Linked DNA regions of Mus musculus. The protein of the gene in region 2 interacts with the protein of the main gene of each other region in a pairwise test. Links are inferred from orthologs where the notes say so. Each region holds a gene or a part of one and is shown on either strand. Other genes may lie near its edges.

Region 1 (4,642 bases), on a different chromosome or scaffold from region 2:
ATGCTAAGAGACAGGGCTCACTGGGCCTTCTTCCAAGTCTGCCTACTAGCAACTACCAACCCTGGCCAGCTGTTAGAGGCTGCCTCATGTGAGAGCTAGCACTGGCACTGTGCATCTAATAGTGCCATTAGTAACAGAGGGGACATAGAATCTAAAGGCTGTTTCTCTGCTCTCCTTCCCAGTTTAACAGCGGCGGGCTTATACCCCTACAGTAACAGTGTTGGTTTCTGTATACTTGGCCATTTCGAGAAAATGGAGTGCCTTATGGCCATGGAATAGGGCATTTGATTCTTACAGGTAGCCTGAAGCTTCATTGGGTTTCTCACTGCATGGATCACCTCCAGACAGCTTTTTCTGAAGCCGGAACGGTTTTGTTTGTTTGTTTGAGACAGGGTTTCTATGTAGCTCTGGCTGTCCTGGAACTCACTTTGTAGAACAGGCTGACCTATAACTCAGAGATCTGCCTGCCTCTGCCTCCAGACTGCTGAGATTAAAGGTGTGTTCTATCACTGCTTGGCTTTTTCCTTTTCCTTTTTCTTTTGAGACAAGTTCTGATACAGCCCATGCTGACTTGAATTCACTATGAAGCCAAGGAAAACCTGGAACTCCTGATCCTCGTTCTACCTGCAGAGTACATGATTACCACCCCTGGTTTATAAAATGCAGGGATTGAACTCAGAGCTTCGTGCATGCTACTCAAAAAGCATTCTACAAGTGCTGTGATTAAAGGCATGCACCACCATGCCCGGTTGAAGCCAACACTTTTTGCTGGGCAGACTGCAGGGGCAGCTTGGGTGTATCCACACCATTTTCAGCTTCCTGCTTTAATTGCTCACCTTTGGGAGATGGAGGCTCTAGAGACAAGGACTTCAGCGCTGGTGGCAATGAGACCCCTTGTAGGTCCTGGCTGGTTGCCACAGCACTTTCCAGGGTCCGTGTCTCAATGTAGAGTGTGTGACCAAAGTTGCATGAAACACAGCCTTTCTTTGGACAGTAACTACTGCTGCCTGCCTGAAACCCTTTCTCAGCCTTCGCTGCCTGCTTGAAACCCTTTCTCAGCCTTCTCTACTGCAGACACTTCTGGGGCTTCGGGGTCCACGGATCATAAAGGGTTCTTTGGTCCTGAATACAGGTCACTCTGGTTCCCTTCTCATTGCAGGGAGCTCCCAGCACGCTGCGTTCGGGAAGCTCAGGCCACCACCTGGCTTGTGGAAGAGAGAGCTGCTTTGGGTTTCGGGTTCCGAGCTCCACAATCGCTTTCCCGGTGACTCCAGGTGTAGGGTGGCTTTACGCAGGAAAATTTCTTCGCTGTCATTCCCCTTTCCAACCTTTTCTTCCTTCCGGGTCTCCCCAACTCCTCTGCCCACCTCCTCACTTCTTTTCTATCGCTGGTGCCAGGGAGCCGCCCTAAAGCCCACTCTCCGCTCAGCTCCGTCCCTCATCTAGCAGCCCGCCCCGCCCACCTCATCCTCTTGCTTGGCCCTCTTCACTAAGGGGGGCTGGCTTTTGCGGGAAGGGGCGGGGCCACATCGGCGGGGCGGAGAGTCTTAAACTAGCAGAGGCCCCGCAGGCCTGCGTCCTGACTTCGGGAAAGAGGACGACGCATCCGCCTGTCAATTCTGCGGGTCTGGCGTGGCCTCGTCTCCGCCGGCATGACGTCACGGGACGCACTCGCCGCGAGGGTTGCCGGGACGGGCCCAAGATGGCTGAGCGCCTTGGTTCCGCTTCTGCCTGCCGCGCAGAGCCCCATTCATTGCCTTGCTGCTAAGTGGCGCCGCGTAGTGCCAGTAGGCTCCAAGTCTTCAGGGTCTGTCCCATCGGGCAGGAAGCCGTCATGGCAACCCTGGAAAAGCTGATGAAGGCTTTCGAGTCGCTCAAGTCGTTTCAGCAGCAACAGCAGCAGCAGCCACCGCCGCAGGCGCCGCCGCCACCGCCGCCGCCGCCTCCGCCTCAACCCCCTCAGCCGCCGCCTCAGGGGCAGCCGCCGCCGCCACCACCGCCGCTGCCAGGTCCGGCAGAGGAACCGCTGCACCGACCGTGAGTCCGGGCGCCGCAGCTCCCGCCCGGGCCCCGCGCCCCTGGCCTGCGTGCTGGGCATGGCCAACACTGTTCCCTGTCCAGAGGGTCGCGGTACCTCCCTGAGGCCAGGCTTTCCCGGCCCGGGCCCTCGTCTTGCGGGGTCTCTGGCCTCCCTCAGAGGAGACAGAGCCGGGTCAGGCCAGCCAGGGACTCGCTGAGGGGCGTCACGACTCCAGTGCCTTCGCCGTTCCCAGTTTGCGAAGTTAGGGAACGAACTTGTTTCTCTCTTCTGGAGAAACTGGGGCGGTGGCGCACATGACTGTTGTGAAGAGAACTTGGAGAGGCAGAGATCTCTAGGGTTACCTCCTCATCAGGCCTAAGAGCTGGGAGTGCAGGACAGCGTGAGAGATGTGCGGGTAGTGGATGACATAATGCTTTTAGGAGGTCTCGGCGGGAGTGCTGAGGGCGGGGGAGTGTGAACGCATCCAATGGGATATTCTTTTTCCAAGTGACACTTGAAGCAGCCTGTGACTCGAGGCACTTCGTACTCTCCTGGCGTTTCATTTAGTTTGTGGTGTAGTGTAGTTAAACCAGGTTTTAAGCATAGCCAGAGAGGTGTGCTTCTGTGTGTCTGCAGGCAGTTGGATGAGTTGTATTTGTCAAGTACATGGTGAGTTACTTAGGTGTGATTATTAATAAAAAACTATATGTGTGCATATATATGAAAGAGTCGACTTATACTTAACTGCCTATCGATTTTTTGTTCTATATAAAACGGATACATTGGTGGTGCTCAGTTTTCACCGGGGAATGAATTTTACTAGTGTTGCAGACAGGCTTGTTTTAGAACATAGGCCACTCTGACTCTGACTTTGTGCCAGTAAAAGTTCCTGTTTAGTTCTTTGCTGACATCTTATAGATCTTTGGAAGCTAGCTGCTTGTGACTGGAGAGAATATTGAAACAGAAGAGAGACCATGAGTCACAGTGCTCTAAGAGAAAAGAGACGCTCAAAACATTTCCTGGAAATCCATGCTGAGTGTTGAGCCCTGTGCTCTCTTGCAGCTCAGTCCTTTCTCTCAACTCTGGGCATTTTATTTCTAATCTGGATTTGTATAATTAATAAGGAGAACTTTTGGGAACAACCTACTAAAGAATGTCATCATTAAAACTCACTTAGAAAATAAGTGTTCTGGTGATATCATTGAGCTATGTTCCCAGTCCTGAGAGTTTGTTTTTTTTTTTTTTTTTAAATAAAGATTTGGGGAGAAAAGGTGGCTTACTTGATAGAACAAAATATAGGAATAAAATTTCCTTCTATAAGGTGAAAAGTGTGAATAGAAAACTTCTTATCCTCTAGATAAGTAGTTTCTTTTTGCTTTTGAGAGTCTCACTATGTAACTCTTGACCTGAACTCAGAGAGATCCATCCTCCTGCCTCTGCCTCCTCTCTCTGGGATTAAAGGCATGTGGCACCATGCTGGGCTGTCCAAGTATGCCACAGACCCTCTAGGTCCCTGGTCTTCGAGGAACGGGATTTCTTAGGCAGATGGGTAAGGAGTCGGATGAAAATGACAATCAGCCACACACAAGAGAGGTGTTGAATCTGAATGTAATGTTCTGGTTGAGCTTCAGACTTATATAACAACGAATTATCAGAGGATACAAATCACAAAAAGACAAGATACACTGAAATTCACCAGTTACAGCAGAAAGGAATTTGCAGGGACTAATTAAATGTTTACATTAGGGATAACAAGCCCTGCCTAGGATCAGCCTAATGCCAGGCAAGAATTTCACACTTTAAGGTTAAAAGCATCAGGGGGTTGTTAACTCTTGACAGGCCTTAAGAGTAATGTGCTATCACTGAGCTCTAAATTCTTAGGTCTAGTAAAACTTATCCTGTCTGGAGAGTTCCCCCTTATCAGGGTAGTATATCAACTTATACTTGACATGGAATGAAGCCTGTAGTAAAACATTTCTATCTCAGTGAGACTTTTAGTCTCTATCTGTAAACAGCTGAGTAAAATGGCAAGTGCTTAATTGTTTACTGAATGGGTTAAGCTCCTTGCTGCTATCTGGAATCTAAGAACACTGGGGAAAGGCTTTAGCTATGTTAGAATACAATATTAAAAGGCATTTACTATAAGGTGATGCTTAATAGAGTGCACGTGAATCTATACACTAGATTAATGTGGTGGAAATTTGAATATAATGGGTTAGGGAAAGAGATGCCATAACTCTGGGAGGAAAATTTCCCTGGACTCTTATCCTCGTGAAACAGCTTCCAGGCTTTTCGCCTGACAAACCGATCCAAACTGGAGAGTTGGCTTTCGCCAGAATATCCAGGAGGAGAGTCCTAGAAATTCATTTCTCATGAGCAGCTTTTTGGCATTTTTGCCTCACAAGCTGACTCCACCAGAGTACCCTGACACAAGTATTGTCTAGTTATTTTGATTATTACCATGACTCTGCCTCTGGGTGAGAGGAATTGTGGAAGTTTACATATTCCCCATATCTTCTATAAACCTCTGTGTGTGTGTGTGTGTGTGTGTGTGTGTGTGTGTGTGTGTGTATGAGGGAGAGAGAGGGAGAGAGAGAGAGGGAGGGAGGAAGAGAGAGAGAG
Region 2 (4,847 bases):
TAAAATAAAAACTTTTAGTGGTGGTAGCTAACTTGACAAACCTCTTCTTTAAGTGTTATACACTTAAACACCTTAGGGGTGTTTAACTTGAACACCTTAGGAAATAATCTAAAGGACCAATGATTTCAAACTAAAACCAAAATTCTTAAAACCTTAAAAGTTCCTTTCTTGGGAAACTGTTCAGGAACTCTCCAATCACTAGTCACCATTTAGAAGCCTGTATTTGTAACTGCACTATCAAACACTGTGTGTTCATGCTGATACCATTTTCCCATAGTGCCTGCTGAATTAAAAAACAAACAAAAAATGGATTCAAAGTGATAATACTAGTACATGGTAATGTGCTGACTGCACTGTTTTCTCTAACTCTCCCAGGACACACACATGACAGTTTAGCCCGAGAGCTACTTACCACCGTCCCTTTCTCTAACTCTCTGAGTGTGCACGTTTTTGGCCTTGTTGTGACCTGTGCTGTCACTGTATTTGTTTTCAGGACTATTAGATCTCCGCAACATTTTGTTTGGTGGTGAAGGATCTGCGGCGTCTCGCATCTTTTCATGTCTGTGATCACCACTACTGGGGTGACTCTTTGAAGAATACTTAAGTGCCTGTAAAACATCACCCCCCCAAAGAGAGAGAAAAATTGAAAACTTAAACTCAATTCCCAATTTAAATGACAAATTTTGCTATGTCAGGTTCCCTTACATCAAAATTCAGAATTTCCATTTTCAGTACTTCCCTTACTCAGAGAAGAGGGAAAGGCTCCAGATTTCCTATGCAACTCCTGATAACAGATGCAACCACAAAACACACACTCACACACACTCACAAAAGAAAAGAAGAGAAAAGAAAAGAAACCTATCTGATCATGTAAACTTTTTTTAAACAGTATTTTGGCACACTGACCTACCAGGAAAAAAAAATTCTTCAAAACTAAAATCAATTTTTGAGAGCTTAGATTACTATCCACTTAACCTCTACAACCAATGCATCCAAGCATGTCTATAAATAAGCATATTTTAATAACCACAATTTTCAAAAAGACAACAGTTTTTCCTCTTTTTTTTTGATTCAAATAAAGCACTGTCCCTAATTTATAAGCTCTTTCAGGGATAAATTAGTTTTTAAAATGTAACATGATGTGCCAAAACAAACTGATACATGAACAGTGTTTCTAAACAGGAAGAATTCTAAATGCCCTCAAAATAATGGTTTTACACTGCAGGTGTCTGAAGAGGAACCCAGTGTTGCAGTCTGGGAGGGAAGGAAATAATGTTTGACAGATGCAAATATTCTGACATCCCAGAAGCTCCTGTACAAGAGTCAGGCTGGAAATGTGCTGGCTCCCACGTGTAACCAGCATTCTGAAGACTAGACAGGAGTAAAACTGGAAGCAAGCCTGGACCACGGAACCTTGAGGGAGACACAGATCTGTTCCTATTTTCTCTTTTAAGGGTGATTAGAGGCATAAAGTATTTACTTCTGTTATCTTCAGACAGTATCCTGAAGACATTTCTGCAAACCTTTAAAACTTTACACGCAAAACCTTCAGTGGAATAGTAGAGAATCATTTCTACTAGCATGAATTACTAAGTAAAGGAAGGTTTAAATTAACTGAAGCAAAAACAAAACCTTTTCTTTGAAATAGCATAATCTGAACTAAATAAATAAAATGGTAAGAGTATTGTTACTGAGAGTAACTCAAGTTACTGCTCTCAAGCCTTTACTCTACTTTTACAACTCTCACATTTATCTTTCGGCTCCTCGATAGAATATTAAATAAATGGGCCTCTGAAGTCAAATATCACTACACTTCAGTGACTCCTTCACATTCAAGCCAAGCCAGGTCTTCCTGTTTCCGAGTATTTTTTTCCCTTAAAAACAAACAGGCAAACAAACAAAAAAACAAAAGGCAAAACAAACCCCTGTGCTTCCTCTAGTCACCTCTCAAGATGCATTTGGAGAATGCTAATAAAACCCAATACTGAATTTTAAGCGGACCAGTGGTGCTACTTTCAGATTTGTTGCACCAAAGGGCCTGTAGCGACTTCTGAAGCCTGCGCTCGAGTAGCAGTCCCTCCCTTCCCCCTCCAGCCCCTCCAATCCCTCCACCCAGGATCGGCTGGTACCTGGAAAGGCTGAGAGTCCCCTCTCCGGTCGTGACAGCTGAAAAACAGTAAAGAAGGACCGTCCTGTGAGACATCGCGGGAAAGGAAGAAAGCGGGTCTCCCGGCCGCCCCTCCCCGCGGACCGGCGGACAAACGTACCAGCGCGGATCCGCGCGCGGCGGACGCTCCCCGGGCTCAGAGGCCCGGGTTCGGACTCAGGCCGCAGCCACAGCCCGCTCGTCCAGCCCTCCGGGTCCCCAGGGCGCCAGCCCGTCCGCCCGGCCCGGCCCGGCCCGGCGCCTCCTCCGACCGATCCCGATCAGGGTTAACAACAAAAATGGCGGCGCGGCCAGCTCCCGATAAGGACGCCCGCCCGCCCGCCCGTCCGCCCGCCCTCCGCCGCGGCCCGGCCCGAAACGAAAAGACGATTTACCCATCACTGAGTCTCTGCTGTTTCCTCGCATACATTACCATCAATGCCCGGCTGTGTGTGTGTGTCGGGGAGGGGGAGAGCGGCCGCGAGGCAGGCGGGCGGGCGCGCGGGCGGCGGGCGGGCGGCGGGCAGCCCCGGCACCAGGTCTCAGCGCACCCTCGGCGGCTCGCGGCACCTCCCCGTTACTGGCGCCGGCGGTCCCGGGCCATCTCCCTCCGTCACCACCGCTTAGGGCCGGCTGGGGCAGAGGTGCCAACTACGGGGCGGCAGCGCGAGCCGGGGGGAGGGGGTGAGAGGCCGTGTTCCGGTCCCCGCGGAGAGCGAACGCCTCCAGCACCTTCCCTCCTCCTGCTCCGCCGCCGCCGGGTCCTTCTCGCCGCCTCCTGCCGCTGCTACAGCCGCCGCCGCTCCACCAACTACATCCGGGCAACTCGGACGCAGCCGCCTTCGGGAAAGCTCGGCAGTTTCCGCCACACCCCCTCCTCCCCGCCCCGCGAGGCTCGAGAACGCCGCCTTCGACAAACCTCGGCTCGCTCCCGCCCTCCTCTTCCTCCGCGGCCTGGGCTCCTCGCCCCGCGACCCGTCAAGCCCTTCCGGTTGCTGCTTTCCTCGCTCGCGAATCCGGCCACTCCCGTTCCACTTTAGGGGTAATCGTGCTCCGGAGCCTGCGTGAGGCGAGCCCCGGGGCCTCCGGGCTGCGCAGGGTGGGAGCCACCTTCGGGAAGAGAACCGTGGGGCGCGAGGGACGCCATCTCGGACTAAATGCGGAGCGGCGGGAGCTGCGCGTGCGCCCAGAGGCGCTACGGCGGCGGGGGCGGGGTGCCCTCCGCGAGGCGGCCGTGTCCCCCGCCCCTCGGGCTCCGTGCGGGGGTCGGAAAGCCCCTAATTGGGCGGCCCGGACGGTGGTCGCGGAGCCTCGGCGGGCCGCGACGGAAGTCACACTCGGCGGGCCGGGAGAACCCAGAACCGCGGCTGGTGCTGCCACCCAGCAGCGCCGACCGCGCGCCTGTGGCATTGGCCATGGCACGTAAGTGCCCGGCCGCACGGAGCCTTCCTACGGCGACTCCTGTGTCCCTCCTAGTTCTTCCTCTCCGTGGAAGGAAATTCTTTCCAGAGTACGGGAGTACAGAAAATGAGCGGTGTAGTGAGTGAGGTTGCTATAAATTATTTGCGATTCACGGGGAGGAAACTTATCAGTGACAATCTTTTCTTGGTGGCAGTCCACTGCCTTTTTATTTCCTGGAACATGGGTTTAACAGAAAGAATTGCTACGTAAGCAGGCTAGAGAGGTAAAACACATAAGGATTAAAAAAAAAAATTGAAAAGACTACTCGGTATCCAAAAGGTTACATTAATCCTAAATAGTGTAATACGGAAAGAGACCTTGAAATCATAGCTGAAAAGATTTTTTAAACTAACAGTGTCGGCTTGTCAGATCCACTTGTCAAATGTTAAGTTGATTATTATGGCAACTAGTAAAACCCTGCTTAACGCCCACAGAAGCTGTCAGTAACTAAGAAAAAAGGTTGTTGGTGCCTGAAGTGACTGGAGGGCTAGAGGGATAGGTCATTTGTAACATTTTTTAGCACAAATTAAACACAAAAAAAAGTTAAAATGCCCTTAATGGGGGTAGTCAGATCTCTCCTATAAGGGTCCTTTGGTCCAGTCCCAAACACTAAGTTGGAAGAGGGGAAAAAAATATTACGTCTTGCACGGAAATTCTAAAGACTGGCACCATTATTCTTATTCCCTTGTGGTGAGGTAACACAGGGCTGAGCTAAAGGAGGAAATGTTCAAGATGTAGGAGTGATACTCAATATTGTGTTTGCAAACTTACACAGTAAAATTCATTTGTCACCCCCACATCAGCATGCACCCAATGTACACAGATGTGAGAATGACATACCTGACAACAATGTCTGCCTCATTAGTTGATGTCTCATACTGTAAACTGCCCCTTAAACAATATATGTAGTGCCATGGTTTTCTCAGTTCTTGTGCTTGTCTTAGTGATTTTGTTACTTAAATGTCTACCAGCGCTAGTTCTGATACTGTCTAGTGTTCTTAGACATAGTAAAGATCTACTAAGTCTTAAAGAAAAAAACTGGACTAGATTAGTTTTATTCAGGCATACCATTAGTGCTTTTGACCACAAGTACCCTGTAAATGTTTATATTATTTTCAAGAACACATCTTCAGCCTAGCAGTGGTGGCCCACACCTTTAATCCCAGCACTTGGGAGGCAGAGGCAGGCAAATTTCTGAGTTCCAGGCCATCCTGGTCTACAGAGTGAGTTTCAGGACAGC
Region 3 (4,636 bases), on a different chromosome or scaffold from region 2:
TTCTCTCCTAACCTGGAAAGGGAGGATAAAGAGTCTTTGGGTGGTGGTGGGGTTATTGAGAAATTATACATCCGAGGCAATTATACTATTGTTTGACTTGCAAGGGAGTGTCCACTAACCTTAACAAGTCTCTAGCACGGAAATTCTTAGTTTTCCCTGCATCTTCAAGCTAACCCTGGTTCAAGACAAAATTAAGAATGATGTATTTATGAAAATCTTTTAAATATGCTGGATCATGACCGAGGAAAGGTCTAGAAATAAGGGTAACTACCCAAGTGTTCCCTTTTCCTGTAGCTTTGCTGAGCGTGACGCATCCTAAGTAAAAATAAATGTATATCTGGCTTTCAACGCTTCCTGTCAGTTCTAAAAGAGGGTTGTTCCTCAGCATTGTGTAAGGACCGCTGTTAGTACAAATGGAATTCCAAAGTGGTCCTAGTTATTTCTAAGGCAGAGAGACTGATGTAGCTGTGTTTATCCACCTACACATGGCTTTTCTGTAGTGTCTCAGAGATTCAGAGATGTGTCACCTATCTAGAAAGTCAAGTTTTTCTTAAGTTGTTCTCTCTCCCTTCATTCTGGAGAGGCCAATCTCGAATGTGTCTTTAAAAATAATCTCATATGTCTTATTCAAGATCAACTTCATCTCTTGCCTTCAACAAAGTATTTTATCTTTCCTAGACACCAGTGGGAAAGTAATGGATGCCCACCCCCGCAACCCGGTGCTGAAGAACCATGGAGTCTACTAACCATGAGCACTGTTAAAACAAAATGCTACAGTGCCACAGCTGAATCACTCTCACCATGTCTTTAAATCTGTAACTCAATTCAAATCCTTCTGGACTATCAAACAATGCTTTTTAGCTGAATTATGATCTTAAATGATTTCTTCAAGGTCTTCAAATATTTAAATCAATGTCTGGAAAGAACTAGAAATGTCCGGCTAACAAAGCTTTCACACGGCAGAGAAAGAAAGCAGCACAGCTGCCATTTTTGTAAATGAAATGTTATTCTACACAGGAAAGAGAAAAAAAAAAACTTTACAGTCAAAGTTCATTTGCACCGTGTATCCTGTGGCCAGGAAGCATTCCTTCTGATTACTCATGAAGAGCAGAAATCAGAAAATACAGTTTACTTATTCATCCTAATGAAAACCAGGCTACAACCCCAATCATTTCGGGGCCAAGTTCAAGGGAGGGGTAGAATTAATGCACTGTCAGTAACTTAAAAACTGACACCAGGACCTTCCAGGTCAGCCGAAAGCTTTACATTTAAACTAACTTACTCTTTACCGAGTTATACATTCCCTGGAGTTAAATGGTTTCTTTTCCTAAAAATCCAATTCCGACTCTTTTGTGTGTGTGTGTGCGCGCGTGTGTGCCAACATAAGCATTTACTTCTTTAAAACTGCCTGAAGTATAACCAGAAACTGGTTTTCACTTACATAACAATCTTCAAAACTTAGCAAGAAAGTGTTATGAAACGCAAGCGTCCCATTCGCTGTCTTCAAAGTGCGCAACATGCTAAGAAAATTGAGGCAGAATCTCAAACAGCAAAGAAAAATGTATTAAGGACACAAGCGAGGGATAATAAATAAATGTCTAAAAGCAAAACTTCTGCAACAGTATAAAAAGCAACAAATTCTAATCTATTACTCTTACCCTTGACGGCAAGGACCAGAATATCCTGCCTTATACATTTTGGTATTACAACTCTGTAATGCTAAATCCAAAGACAAAGCCGCCCAGGGGAAAATAACAATTGCGCAACTGATCAACAGCTCCAACTTGTCCCTTGGCCCCAGAGCAGCGAGGTTTGCACGCTATAGAGCAGGAAAGGGCCAACCGAGGGCCTCTGTGACTGCCAACTGGCCGATGTAAGCCAGCCAGAAGCCACAGCCTCGCACACTACGTGGGGCCCCGCGGGTCACCATACTCAGAACACACAGCCCAGCATGGGGCCCACTCGGACCTCGGAGCCCGCCGCCCAGGTCTGCACGTCCTTGCGCCCGGCGCGAGGCCATTCCCGGGTTCCCAGGCTGAAGGAGCGTGCGGAGCCCTGCCGGCAGGCCGCCCGTCGGGGCGCCAGAGCACGAGGGCCACCCGGTGACTTTCTCCTCCGCCCCCGGAGGGCTGGGCTTTTCTGGATCAAGACGGACAGGCGTGATCTTACAGACCAGCTCTCGGGCTGAGGCCGTAGACGGCCGAGCTCACCAAGTCGTAGAACGGGGGTTGGGGAGGGCTTCGGGCGGACGCCGAGGAGAGACCTCAGCTCCCCCGAGCGCGGCCCCGTGACTAGGCACATTTTTACCGGCACCGAATCAGGGAAACTACGCTGCCCCGGAAAAGGCCGGGCGGCGCCGGTTTAGACCGCCAGCATCCACCCCCCTCCCGCCTCTGCGCCTCCCACCCAGCGAGGTGGTGGTGTCTCTGCCTGGCCCCACGAAGTCAGAGCTTCCTCCACACCCCAACCTCGCCGCCCCTGGAGACCTCAGGCTCGGACCCCACTCTCGTCGCGGCCCCAACATCCTCCGTTGCCCTCCCAGCTCGGCGGGGCAGTTCCCAGGCCCTGCCGTCGTAGTCCTGGCTCAGACTGTCCCTCCCTCCCGGAGCCACTATCCCCTCGAGCTCCTGCCGGCTTCTTGGCACAGCCCAGGGGCCCGAAGGTTGGGGCAGCACCTGCTGGGACTGTAGTCCTGGCGGTGGCAACTCCAAGTCCATCATGCTGAGGGCGGACGCTGTGGTAGGGCTCCCCGACGGCGAGGCTACTTGCAGCAGAGGTGAGGCGGCGGCAATGGCTAGTCCGAGCAGCGGAGAACTAGGAGATAGCCTGCTCGCTGGAGTGGCAGGCCAGCCTTAGTCCGCCCCGCCCCCGCCCCCTGGGGGCGGAACAAGGACCTAGGGACGGGACAAGAACTTAGAGGCGGAGAAAAGGCTAGGGCAAGAGGCAAGGGCCAGAGGCAGGACAAGGGCATGGAGGCGGGGTAAGGGGCGGGGCAAGAGCTTGGAATCGCGTACAGGGGCAGGGCAAGGACCCGAGGGCCCCCCGCAAAGGCCTAGGGCGGGGCAAGGGGAGGGGGGGACAAGACGGGGGCCAGTGGAAGGAGCAAGAGCCCGAGGGCGGGGCATGGACCTGAGTGCTTCCGGCCGGAGTTCCCGCGTTCCCCTCGACCCCCCACTGTTGATCCTCCTCTCGCTGTCCGGGGCATGGCGGAGTCAGGTGGGCTGAAGTCGCACGGGGGGCGGAGCGCGAGCAGGAGGCCTTCGGCCCCCCCAGTCCTCTGTAGGACAGCACCCCCTTGCTAGAGATTAGCAGCTGTTTGCCGAAGGTCGCTCCAGCCCTGGCTCTTTGAAGCAGTTTAAACAGTTGGTGCAAGCACACCGGGAGCCCCGGCCCGTGCGCTGCTATCGGAGCTGCCACTCCCTGATTTGGACCTGCAGAACCTTGCCCGCTTTATCTCGCTCCACCGGCTGACTGTGGCGCCAGTTTCGGGGTTAGGGCTCTGAGCTGGGACCCGGACTTTGCAAGAGGCCAACTGCCCTCTGGCCCCAGGTCCCATTCAGTTGCTGGTGCTCAAACACCTCTGCCCCAGGGAGATGGATGAGTCCACGCTGCAAACTCGTGCTCGCTTACTCGAAGGCCCTCCACTTCTCCCACGTGCCCTGGGCTCGGGGCCCAAGCGGTCACTCAGTATCACTTCATCCACCCAGAGCCCAGCAAGCGGGCACAGCTCTAACAGAATCACCGAAGTGGATTCTAAGACTCTCAGGGTTCCTTTACACGTACTTACTCTATTTGGGAATTTTGAGGTATGATCTCATAAGGCCCCACCTCTCAAGCTGTTTTTAGAGCAGCGTTTCTCAACCGTCGTAATGCAGCGACCCTTTAATATAGTTCGTGTTGTGGTGACCTCCAACTAGAAAAGTATTTTTGCTGCTACTTCATAACTAATTTTGTTGCTATAAATTGTAATGTAAGTATCGGATGTGCAAAATATCTGAGATGCTTGGGGTGGCTCTCCACAGGCTGAGAACTGTACCATAGACTCTGCCACTTGGGTTTGGTGGTGGTGGTGGTGGTAGTGACTGTTTTCACAACGTTCATTCCCAAACATACTTCTTTAACTGCCCCCGAAAAAAAATCCAATTTCTAAAATAGTTATATGGGCTTAGAAAAAAAATCGAGGGATGTTTTAATGTGTTAATAGTTGAAAACCCAGAGTATTTTTATCTTTCTCTTTGTTGTTTTAAGTATGTTTGAACACAAATATCTTCTTTTGAATTTTTTTTTTTTTTTTTGGTTTTTTAAGACAGGGTTTTTCTGTGTAGCCCTGGCTGTCCTGACACTCACTCTGTAGACCAGGCTGGCCTAGAACTCAGAAATCTGCCTGCCTCTGCCTCCCAAGTGCTGGGGCTAAAGGTTTGCGCCACCACTGCCTGGCTTGAAATGTATTTTAAAAACCACTACCCTATTATGGGCCTGGGGTCAGTTAGAGATTCAACAATCTGACAAAGAAAGGTCTCTTACTCAGATCCTAGCGCTAGGTCTCCAGCTGAGACTCAGGACTTCTGAATGCAATGCTCAGCCATTTGTTCTCTCACAAACAGAATGCAAACAGAATCTCCTTCTCCAGCAAAAC
Region 4 (4,735 bases), on a different chromosome or scaffold from region 2:
GGGAAGCACACACCAAACAAAAGAAAACCACCAGCAAGTCCAGGCCAACAGGGATGAAAGCCACGTAGGGTGGTGGGAGCCTGAACCTGGGGCCACGATGGCCTGACTTCAGTCCCTTTGCAGCAACTTGGGACCAGAGGCCGAGGCACTCCAAGGAGACACAAACAGCTTTTATCTAGCAGAGGGCCTGACCACACAACCCTTCCCCAGTGCACTCAGACCAAGCCAGGAGAACGGACTCCAGAAAGAAAAGGAGCTACTTAGCCTGGGTATCTGAAACCAGGAGTTCCAAAAGAGTCCCTCATTTCTACCATAATGGAGTGTTCCCCATCCAATCATATTTGTTCTCTTCCCACAGTGCCTCCTCCCACACGTAACCTGTAGCCCTAGTTACCCCTACAGAAGGACAATAATTTTCTGTTCCTCTATGACCCTACATCCAGCCAGGGTCCTGGATTCTCAAAAGTACATATTGCTAAAAAATCAGTAAGACGGGTAACAGGAAAAAAAAAAAAAAAAAAAAACACCAAGAATGTAAATGTGGTGCTTGGAGAGGACTCATATGACCAGACTTGTGGTACATAGTAACATGTTACCATGGGTACAGGAGGCAGGCTTTAAAAACATCAGCAGCAAGACATCCCCATGTGAATGTCACTCCTCTGGGATGGGGCTACAATTACTTTGGCAACATCGTTCTAGTCATTAATTAATCTAGAAGAGTCCATCTCACAACAAACTTCAGGAGAAACATATTGCTGGGCTGGGCTTTTTTTTTAGGAGACAGCTGGCTGGCACACAGACCACCAGAGCATCCCAATCTAACACTCCTGAAACTGACTTTGCTCAGGTTTCCCCAAGACACTGGCAGTTTAAATTGTGAGCAGCAACTGTGACAAGAGACATTTGTGTCTGAATGTCAGCTTAATGAAGAAACAGCTGTAGCTACCTCATGGAAGAGACTTGAATGCAGTATTCAGGGACAGTAAAGAACCTTCAGGGAGGCTCTCTACCTCTGCTCTGAAAAAACTTCCAAGTACATCAACTCTGACAGCCTTCCTTATCAAGGAGGTGACAGCTAATGTACGTACCTTCATACCAAAACAGACCGGCTTCACCACTGGATCCAGTAAAGTCTAAAAGAAAAGCAGCCCTCACTCCTCACCTGTCTACCTGTCAACAGTCATCTCCCACTTCTTTCCTCTTCCCTCCCATAAGCCCCACTCCGTTCCTGAGTGATCTGAGGCTGAGTAGCACTCCCCGTAAGCCATGGGCTGAGGGTACTAACAGAATAAAAACACAGGCCTAGCAGTCTCCACTGTGATAGGCCGGTGCCATGATGCCTGAGTCTTCTTGACTCCTTCACTGTTGAAGAGTGGCAACTGCCTGCTTCCCAGGGCTCTCCACACCACCAGTCCCTTCCTCAGACCTTCCAGGATAGGCTACAAACGCCTCACAGACTGGGAGAGGAGACTACCAGGCGGCAGAGCACCTTGGGATGTGGGTGGATTCCTGAGCATTTCTGGACACATGTAAGATTAACAGACAGGGCCATGTTCCGAGACAGTACCTATTACAAGCTAAGGTAGGAGGGCCAAATGAGTAACGAGAAGGGTAGACTACAGTGCTCAACCTACTGAGACGAGAAAGTCTGAGGGTCAACACTGGGAGAGACCTTGAGCTCTGGACTTCTAAGTCCCAACCATACCCCAAGTTCCACAGCACCTTCTGGAGTACCATGCCCATTCTGTGTACCCCCTGCAGTGACACTCTTGGGGTTACCAAGAGCCCAGACAGACTCCACACAATTGTAACTGTTGTACAATGTTATGTACCTCATCCAATGCAGCTTCCTGGAGACTCACTAACAAATAGAAGACAAGCTCTAAAGAGACATAATGGTAAGTGCTGCAGGTTGGGAGAAGTAAAGTAAGGCAGGTCCCAAGACCTAGTGGGCCTGGGAACCTAACATGGAAGGCACCACTGAATGCTCAGAAGGTCCCAGACAAGGACCTGCACCCTACCCAGGCCTCAAGTATAAGCACAGCCCAATTCCAGAGCCCCAACATACCTCCAGCTCCTAACAGCAACTTGACCCTGAGCCTAGACCCTGTCCCGAGGCTCACACTCAATAAACCGATGTCAGCCCGGGCCTCTACCTCCTCTCAGCCTCACCTTCTGGCTCCAGCACCCTAACCCACAGACCTAGACTCTGACCCGGGCCTTCTATCTCCACCCAAACCACTAGACCAGCACCCGCTACTCTACCCTGACTCCAACTGGAACCTAACCCTGACCCTCACCTGGACCTGGACCTGCACCTCCACCCCTCAACGCACTCTCAATCCAATCAGCACTCGGAGCCACACAGACCTTACCATTGACCCTGATCCTCACCTTCATCTGAGACTAATCCTCATTTCGACCCAAACCCTGATTGGCATCCTACAACGCCCCTCACACTACCCGGTCCCTCAACGCGATCCTCACGCTACCTGGTCACTCGCCTTGATCCGGCCCTAATTCTGACTCTCACCCCGAAACGAATCCTACTCAGACGCGCATCCTACCTCGACTCTCACCCTACCCGGACCCTCACTCCGACACTCGCTCGGTCCCGCACTTAACCATAACCTTCAACACCGTTACCCCAACCCTCAACCCGTCCCGCCACTACCCGGACCCTTAACCCGTTCCGCACTCTACCCCTACCCTCACCCCACCTCAACCTGACGCGCACCAGCCCGCGCCTACCTCGGTGATGATGTCGTGCAGGTAGCGGAACGGTGGCTTGTTGAGCAGCTTCTCGGTGAGCGGCGGCCTCCGGATCACCTTGCCCAGAGCCTCCTGCGTCCGCCGCACCACTGCGGCGTTCATGGCGCTGCCGCCCGCGACCGCTCGCGCCCCTCCTCGCGCGCCGCGCCTCTGCCCGGTGCCCCGAGATGCCCGCCGTCCCGGCGCGCCGGTCTCCCATCCCACAGTGCACCGCAGCTCGCCACCGCGCTTGCGCGTGCCACCAGCACCCGGTCTCTAGGGCCGCGCGGCCTTGGCAACGGACGCGCGCCCGGCCCCGCCCATCCCCTCCGGCCTCTCTAGCTGCTCTGGAGGACACACGCGCTCCGCCTCTGTGGCTGCTTGAACCTGAGCCTGCTCCGCCAACCCGGCGCACCATAGGGCGCTGCACAGCACTGCCCAGAGACCTGGCATTCTGAGTGAGAAAAGAGCGACCATTTGATATTTCTAAGGAGAGCATTTACAGTAACACCCACCAGGAAAATAACACTTCACATAAACTTGGAAAAGGACTTGACTCCTTTCATCCCTTCATTCCTGTTCCCTGCCCAGCATCCCCTGCCTTAGGTAATCTTTAAGATGGTGCCAAGGGGAAGGGTTGTGTCCTTCCACATTTTCTGTGCTCTTGGTTCACCAGAGCGGGCACAAAACTGTGAAGGAGCTAGGCCCTTAGGCTAGGATGCTGCAGCTTTCTGCTACACACACACACACACACACACACACACACACACTTACTTCCCACCTCACCCTCACCACCACCCGAGGCTATGCAGGAGATGCTTCTACTGGATCAGGTGTTGCTGCTGTGCCTGAGGTCTGGAGCTCCTCTGCCCAAACTGGCAGAACCCCAACTAGAACATTGCCCCTGATCTCTCTACCATGGCTACACCCCGAGAGCCAGAATCTTCTTTAAGAGCCCTCTCACTCTGAGCCCCAGCTGGAGTTGGTCTCTGGGGGAGTTCAGAGAGCAGAATTCAGAGAGCAGAAGTCCTGTCTCTAAACACCGCCCCTAAGAACATACCCACCTAGCTCCTACCCTAGAAAGTTCACTCTGAGCAGAATCGTGATGTAGGTGTGGAATGAAAGCTGGAGCCAGCAACTGGCTTGTTTGTGATGCTGGACCAGGTGGTAGGAACTCAGGGTTTTACTTGGAAGATACCTCTGACCTTGGGAATTCTACTGAGGACCTGGAGCCTATGCCATACAACAAAGCGAAGATGATGCTTTATCCTCTCACAGCTTGTGGAGGAGGGCAGAACAGTAAGTGGATCCAAGAACACACACACACACACACACACACACACACACACACACACACACACACGAAGGCCAGAGTACAGTTTTGGCTGCCTTTAGGAGGGCTAACCAACCAGAAGATCTTCAGTCTATCTGGGTATCAAAGTTTTTTAGAAGATCCAGGACAGCAAGTATTGTCAACCAACCCTCTGGGGACTGACCTAGGGGAGGTAACTTTGAAGAGTATAGTTCTATCTTCCAGAGTCTCACCCCTGCCTTTGGTTCAGCCTACCCACCCCCATACTGAAGAAAGACATTCTTCAGTGGACAACATTCTGGTCACCAACGAAGCGGGTCCCAGAAGATATAAGCAATTCCTGGCTTCAAGAAAGATATCTGGAACCCAGACCTCCCCAGAGGAAGGATGCAGAGGCCAGCATGGAGCCATCAGTCTTGGGGGGCAGTCAGCAGAGTAGGGGCTACTAGCCTACATCACCCCCTGAGATGAGGGAGAGAGCAGGAAAGAGTCATTCACAGAAGAAGGTAGCTGAGTAAGAATGGAAAGAGGTTTCTAACTCAAAAGCCCGGCAGGGGAGGCTTTCAACGTGAACAGTTTCTGAGTGAATGAAGGGAATAAGGATGGTTGTGACTCACCCCAGGAAACAGAAGCCACAAAGCAAAGTGGCTTCCAGGCCCTACCTCCCCC
Region 5 (4,852 bases), on a different chromosome or scaffold from region 2:
CTATAAACTGAACTTCAACTCAGAGATCTGCATGGCTCTGTGTCCTGAGTTCTGGGATTAAAGACATGTACCATCACACCTGGACCCAAGCTTTTCTTTACTTAGAACTTGCTGTGTAGCAGACTGGCCTTGAACTCAGATATCTGCTTCCTCTGTCTCCTGGGATTAAAGGTGTGTTCCCCAATGCCTGGATATAAGCTTTTCATGGCCACTGTTCCTCAAGACATGGATCCAGAGCATGTGTCATCCTACATCAAGATCCGAATCAAAATCCTGTATCTTCCAGCCTTAAGATATGGATCACAGGTGTGCCCTCCATTTCTGGATTGTAGTTCATTCTAGATTAAAAGTCCAAATGAGAACAATAACAGGTAATAATACCTAACGTGACATAAATATTCCTTGTTCAACTGCAAACACATAAACAATGGCTGTGTGGGATCTTACCCCAAGGTCACCTTTCCCTTAATCTGTTAAATATCCTTGAACACAGGATTTAGTTCCATTGCACTTCCTGGTGTCCCTTTATTACTTGAACCATACGTTTTGTGTTTCTTTTCCTTTTAGTCTTGCTATGCTTGATCAAAACAATCTTCATGAGAGTAATCCAGAGGATTTCTATGCTGGGTGTTTCTGAGACTTTCTTTGTGCAATTAATTGAGTCTTTTCACCTGAGCCTCAGACAGACTCTTTGTCACCAATATATAAGAAAGAGCTCCATAGTTCAAATCACTCTCAGTACCAATGTTTCCCATGTTCCTACTATGATGAACCATTAAGTCACACTTAAAGCATTCCATGGCTTTCCAAATCAAAAGTTCCAAAAACCACATTCCTCCAAATGAAAACATGGTTAGGCTTATCACAGCAATACCCCAGTCTCTGTTATCAACTTCTGTATTAGTCAGTATTTCTATTGCTGTGAATCAACACCATGATCAAGACAACTCTTACAAAGGCCAACATTTAATTTGGGCTGCTGTACACTTTCAGAAGTTCACTCCATTATCATCATGTCAGGAACATGGCAGCATCCAGGCAGCCATGGCAAGGGAGGAGCTGAAAGTTCTACATCTTAATCTGAAGACCTCCAGGAGAAAACTGGCATCCTCAGGCAGCTAGGAGGAAGCTCTCAAAGCCCACTCCTACAGTGACACAACCCAAAGGCCACACCTCCTAACAGTGCCACTCCCTAGGCCAAGCATGTTCAAACCACCACAACTTCCCTTTAGGTTCACCTCAAGCTCTTCCCTGACATCTTATGGGCTCTTATTCCTGCCATTCTACATATCACACCCTATACTTTCCCATCTCAATAATCCTTTCCTTCCTCTACTCTTGGAACATACCTCCTCACCTTCAAGCCACAGATCATGTCTGGCTCCAGAGTTTTGTCAAGCAGTACAAGGGAGTTTCCCCTGCTTCAAGTAGATCCTACATCCCTTGTCATGCTGCCGAAGAAGTGTATAAAATGTGTGAGTATGTGTGCGCATGCTCATTTGTGTATGTTATGTGCACACTCGAGAGGATGTGAGTGTGTGTGTGTGTGTATGTGTGTGTGTGCACCACTGTCTCTCCATGGTGGCACATGAGCAAATATATGCCCACTCCCAGCTGTTTCCCTGTCTTTTCAGATATGAAGGCAGATGCATGAGTTTTGGGGGATTGACTATTTCTATTTACCTCATATAGGATTTGCAGATGGACAATAACAGACCAAACAAATGATTCCACCCAAGCCCAGAATTGGGACACAATGATATTAAAAGATCAGAATATGTTCACCATTGCAGTTCTTGACTCCTGTCTCAAAGGTGCAGACTCAAGACTGAAATGACATGAGAACATGGTATTTGTACATTATTACCATAGTCAGACTGAAACGCCACTTGAATGTCCAGGTAGAGGTTCAATTACATACAATACCATGGAATCCAGAGACAATATAAGGGAATGGAGATGCTCTCTAAAATAAGGAGTGGATTCCTAGTGAGTCACAATGCAGGAGGAAAGGGTGACATAGCAATTGCTTCTGCTACCAAAGGAATATACACATGTATGTGTAAGTGTAGCCCTAGGAACTGACTGGAGCTGGCACAAATGAGCTGATTTCCAACTAGGTTGGCACTGGTGTCCTAACCACAAAGAGAAAAACATTATGAAAATTTATTTATAGAGATAAAATCACCATGTGGACATATCAATGTTATTTGAAGTTCAGTTACATAAAACATGGAAGATACTCTTTCTGCTGCTCCAAAATCATAAAACGTGAGAAAGGAACAATGGTTGTCAAGGAGGGACCTCTGATCTAGAATTTTGGCCAGGGTCTTTCTGGGGTTTCTGGCAGCTGCTTAGCATTCTCAGTGGGGTTTTCATGAGGTCCCTCCGTCATTTCTGTAACATACATGTCCTGGTCATGTGAGGAAACTCATAGCCATCTCTTCTGTCCTAAGAAATGTTATTTCCCAACAAACACCAGTGTGCACTCAACTCCACAGAAAGAAAGTCCGTCCCCACAGAAACACCTGCCTCTGAACTGGAGCAGCTGCTTTGAGCCACTGAAGGATGTCCTCTGCCAGGGCCTGGGAAGAGGTGCTGGATTCGGCACTCAAAACTACAGCAGACCTAATTCAACTTGAATTTCTGAGAAACAATGAATAATTGTCTTCTAGTATATTTGTGCTGGAAAGTAACCTGTTTGTCTAAAAACAAATTTCAATCAGGCAGCCACCAACCTAGACACTTAGGTTAGTTTTCCTATTGGGTGGCTAGTGGGCCGGAGATGGGAGGAGGAAGAGAAAGAGGAGAAACCGGAAGAGAGGAGGGAGGAGAAGGGGAACTAACCCTCTCTCGGACTCCGGGTTGAGACCTCCGCCTCCGGGTTATGACTCGCAAGGTGAAAATTTGACAACTGCTTCTGCAGAGACACTAGAGAACCGGTTCGAAGGAAAACGGCCCAGCCTCCTTGGTCCACGCAGCTGATGCACGTTCTGGCCACCTGCCAGTGAGTCGCGTCCCGTTGCCTGGCAACGAGAGCACGCTCAAGTGTAGCGCTAAGGTTCCATTGCTACCCAATCAGTGGAGGCAAAGAGAAATGAAAGGGGAATTCGCGCAGTGGGAGTGGGGGTGGGAGTGGGCGTGGGAGGGGTGGCGTTCTCTAGCCTGAGCTTGGAGTGCGCACTGTAGGGGATGGGGCACGCACGCAGATGGGAGAACCAGATTTATGGGAGAGGAAGCACTGTGGAGAAACAGCGGGACAGAGACTTGGAACCTAGCAGGCATAGGAACCCTTAGATAGGAGCCCTGTGGACCAGCAGATCTTTGAAAGTCAGGGGAGACTCCTTTGATCCCTGGGGATTAAAGCTGCAAGCTTGTTGTCGGCTTGGCAATTTTAAGACTCCACACCTTTCAGAGCAAACTCAAACGCAAGCAACTTCAGGTTACCCAAAGGCACCCTCTGCCAGGCCCTCCTATGCACTTTCCCCTGATGTGCTTGGTTAGTTTTTGTCAACGTGACACAAACCTAGATATACCTTGAAGGAGGAAATCTCAAATGAAGAACTGCCTCCATCAGACTGACTTGTGGGCATGTATGTCTGTGAAGCGTTTTCTTGATTGCTAATTATGGGCATATGCCCACTATGAGCTGCGAGTGCCCATCCCTGAGAAGGTGGACTTGTGCTGTGTAAGAAAGGTAGCTGAAGCCGGGCAGTGGTGGTGCACACCTTTAATCCCAGCACTCAGGAGGCAGAGGCAGGCAGATTTCTGAGTTCGAGGCCAGCCTGGTCTACAGAGTGAGTTCCAGGACAACCAGGGCCACACATAGAAACCCTGTCAAGCAAGGAAGGAAGGAAGGAAAAGGAAAAAAAGAAAAAAAAGAAAAGGAAAAGGGGAAAAGGAAAGGAAGGAAAAGGTAGCAGAGTCAGCCAGGGAAAGCGAGCCTGTAAGCAGCATTTCTGTCATAGTTACTGTTTCATGCTCTTGCACTGAGTTCCTGGCTTGGCTTTCCTTGATGACGACTGACTGTAATCTGTAAACCAGATAAATCCTTTTGTCCCCCAGTTCGCTATTGGTCATGGTGTTTATCAGAGCAAGAAAAAGCAAACTATGGGCATGGCATTGCTTAGTGGTAGAGGCTTTCATAAATGCAAGAAGGGACACTAATGGATCAACAACGAATGAGCCCTCCCTCTACCCACCTACCCCCAACATCAGAGCACTCAGACATATTTACTCAGGACTTAGTATGTGACTGTACTGGCTGGTTTTGTGTGTCAGCTTGACACAGGCTGGAGTTATCACAGAGAAAGAAGCTTCAGTTGAGGAAATGCCTCCATGAGATCTAGCTGTAAGGCATTTTCTCAATTAGTGATCAAGTGGGGAGGGCCCATTGTGGGTGGGACCATCTCTGGGCTGGTAGTCTTGGGTTCTATAAGAGAGCAGGCTGAGCAAGCCAGGGGAAGCAAACCAGTAAAGAGCATCCCTCCATGGCCTCTGCATCAGCTCCTGCTTCCTGACCTGCTTAGTTCCAGTCCTGACTTCTTTTGGTGATGAACAGCAATGTGGAAAGTATAAGCTGAAAAAACCCTTTCTTCTCCAACTTGGCCATGATGTTATGTGCAGGAATAGAAACCGTGACTAAGACAGTGACAAATGCCAGAGGTAGTATCTCAGAGGGCTTGTCATATTTAAGCCCTGTAGCAGCCACTCAATAACTCAGGCATGGAAAGATGTTCTGGGAAGGCAGCTCATGATTCTGGGCTGGGATTCTATGAGAACAGATGAGTGGCTGGGAGTTGCATTGGGGATTTTTGTCAAGTCACACATATATTGCATCTGAGATGTTGGA

The links.
Region 1: the proteins of Wac (region 2) and Htt interact in binary tests that used the Homo sapiens proteins (3 or more experiments, as listed by UniProt). The link is inferred for Mus musculus from reciprocal best matches to the Homo sapiens genes WAC and HTT.
Region 3: the proteins of Wac (region 2) and Nfe2l2 interact in a two-hybrid assay, tested with the Homo sapiens proteins (2 studies listed by BioGRID and IntAct). The two-hybrid records come from large-scale screens. The link is inferred for Mus musculus from reciprocal best matches to the Homo sapiens genes WAC and NFE2L2.
Region 4: the proteins of Wac (region 2) and Traf3ip1 interact in a two-hybrid assay, tested with the Homo sapiens proteins (2 studies listed by BioGRID and IntAct). The link is inferred for Mus musculus from reciprocal best matches to the Homo sapiens genes WAC and TRAF3IP1.
Region 5: the proteins of Wac (region 2) and Dydc1 interact in binary tests that used the Homo sapiens proteins (3 or more experiments, as listed by UniProt). The two-hybrid records come from large-scale screens. The link is inferred for Mus musculus from reciprocal best matches to the Homo sapiens genes WAC and DYDC1.

Annotation. Positions count from the first base shown.
Region 1 is NC_000071.6:34,760,073-34,764,714, forward strand, and holds the start of Htt (huntingtin), read left to right. Parts: upstream 1-1,667; 5' UTR 1,668-1,834; coding exon 1,835-2,037; intron 2,038-4,642.
Region 2 is NC_000084.6:7,867,310-7,872,156, reverse strand, and holds the start of Wac (WW domain-containing adapter protein with coiled-coil), read right to left. Parts: upstream 2,961-4,847; 5' UTR 2,583-2,960; coding exon 2,542-2,582; intron 2,465-2,541; exon of another isoform or gene 2,268-2,464; intron 2,167-2,267; coding exon 2,130-2,166; intron 627-2,129; coding exon of another isoform or gene 609-626; coding exon 413-608; intron 1-412.
Region 3 is NC_000068.7:75,701,689-75,706,324, forward strand, and holds the start of Nfe2l2 (nuclear factor erythroid 2-related factor 2), read right to left. Parts: upstream 2,976-4,636; 5' UTR 2,721-2,975; coding exon 2,676-2,720; intron 1-2,675.
Region 4 is NC_000067.6:91,492,908-91,497,642, reverse strand, and holds the start of Traf3ip1 (TRAF3-interacting protein 1), read right to left. Parts: upstream 2,976-4,735; 5' UTR 2,878-2,975; coding exon 2,755-2,877; intron 1-2,754.
Region 5 is NC_000080.6:41,071,034-41,075,885, reverse strand, and holds the start of Dydc1 (DPY30 domain-containing protein 1), read right to left. Parts: upstream 2,976-4,852; 5' UTR 2,848-2,975; intron 1,829-2,847; exon of another isoform or gene 1,684-1,828; intron 1-1,683. UniProt on the Homo sapiens protein: Functions as part of axonemal radial spoke complexes that play an important part in the motility of sperm and cilia. Plays a crucial role during acrosome biogenesis.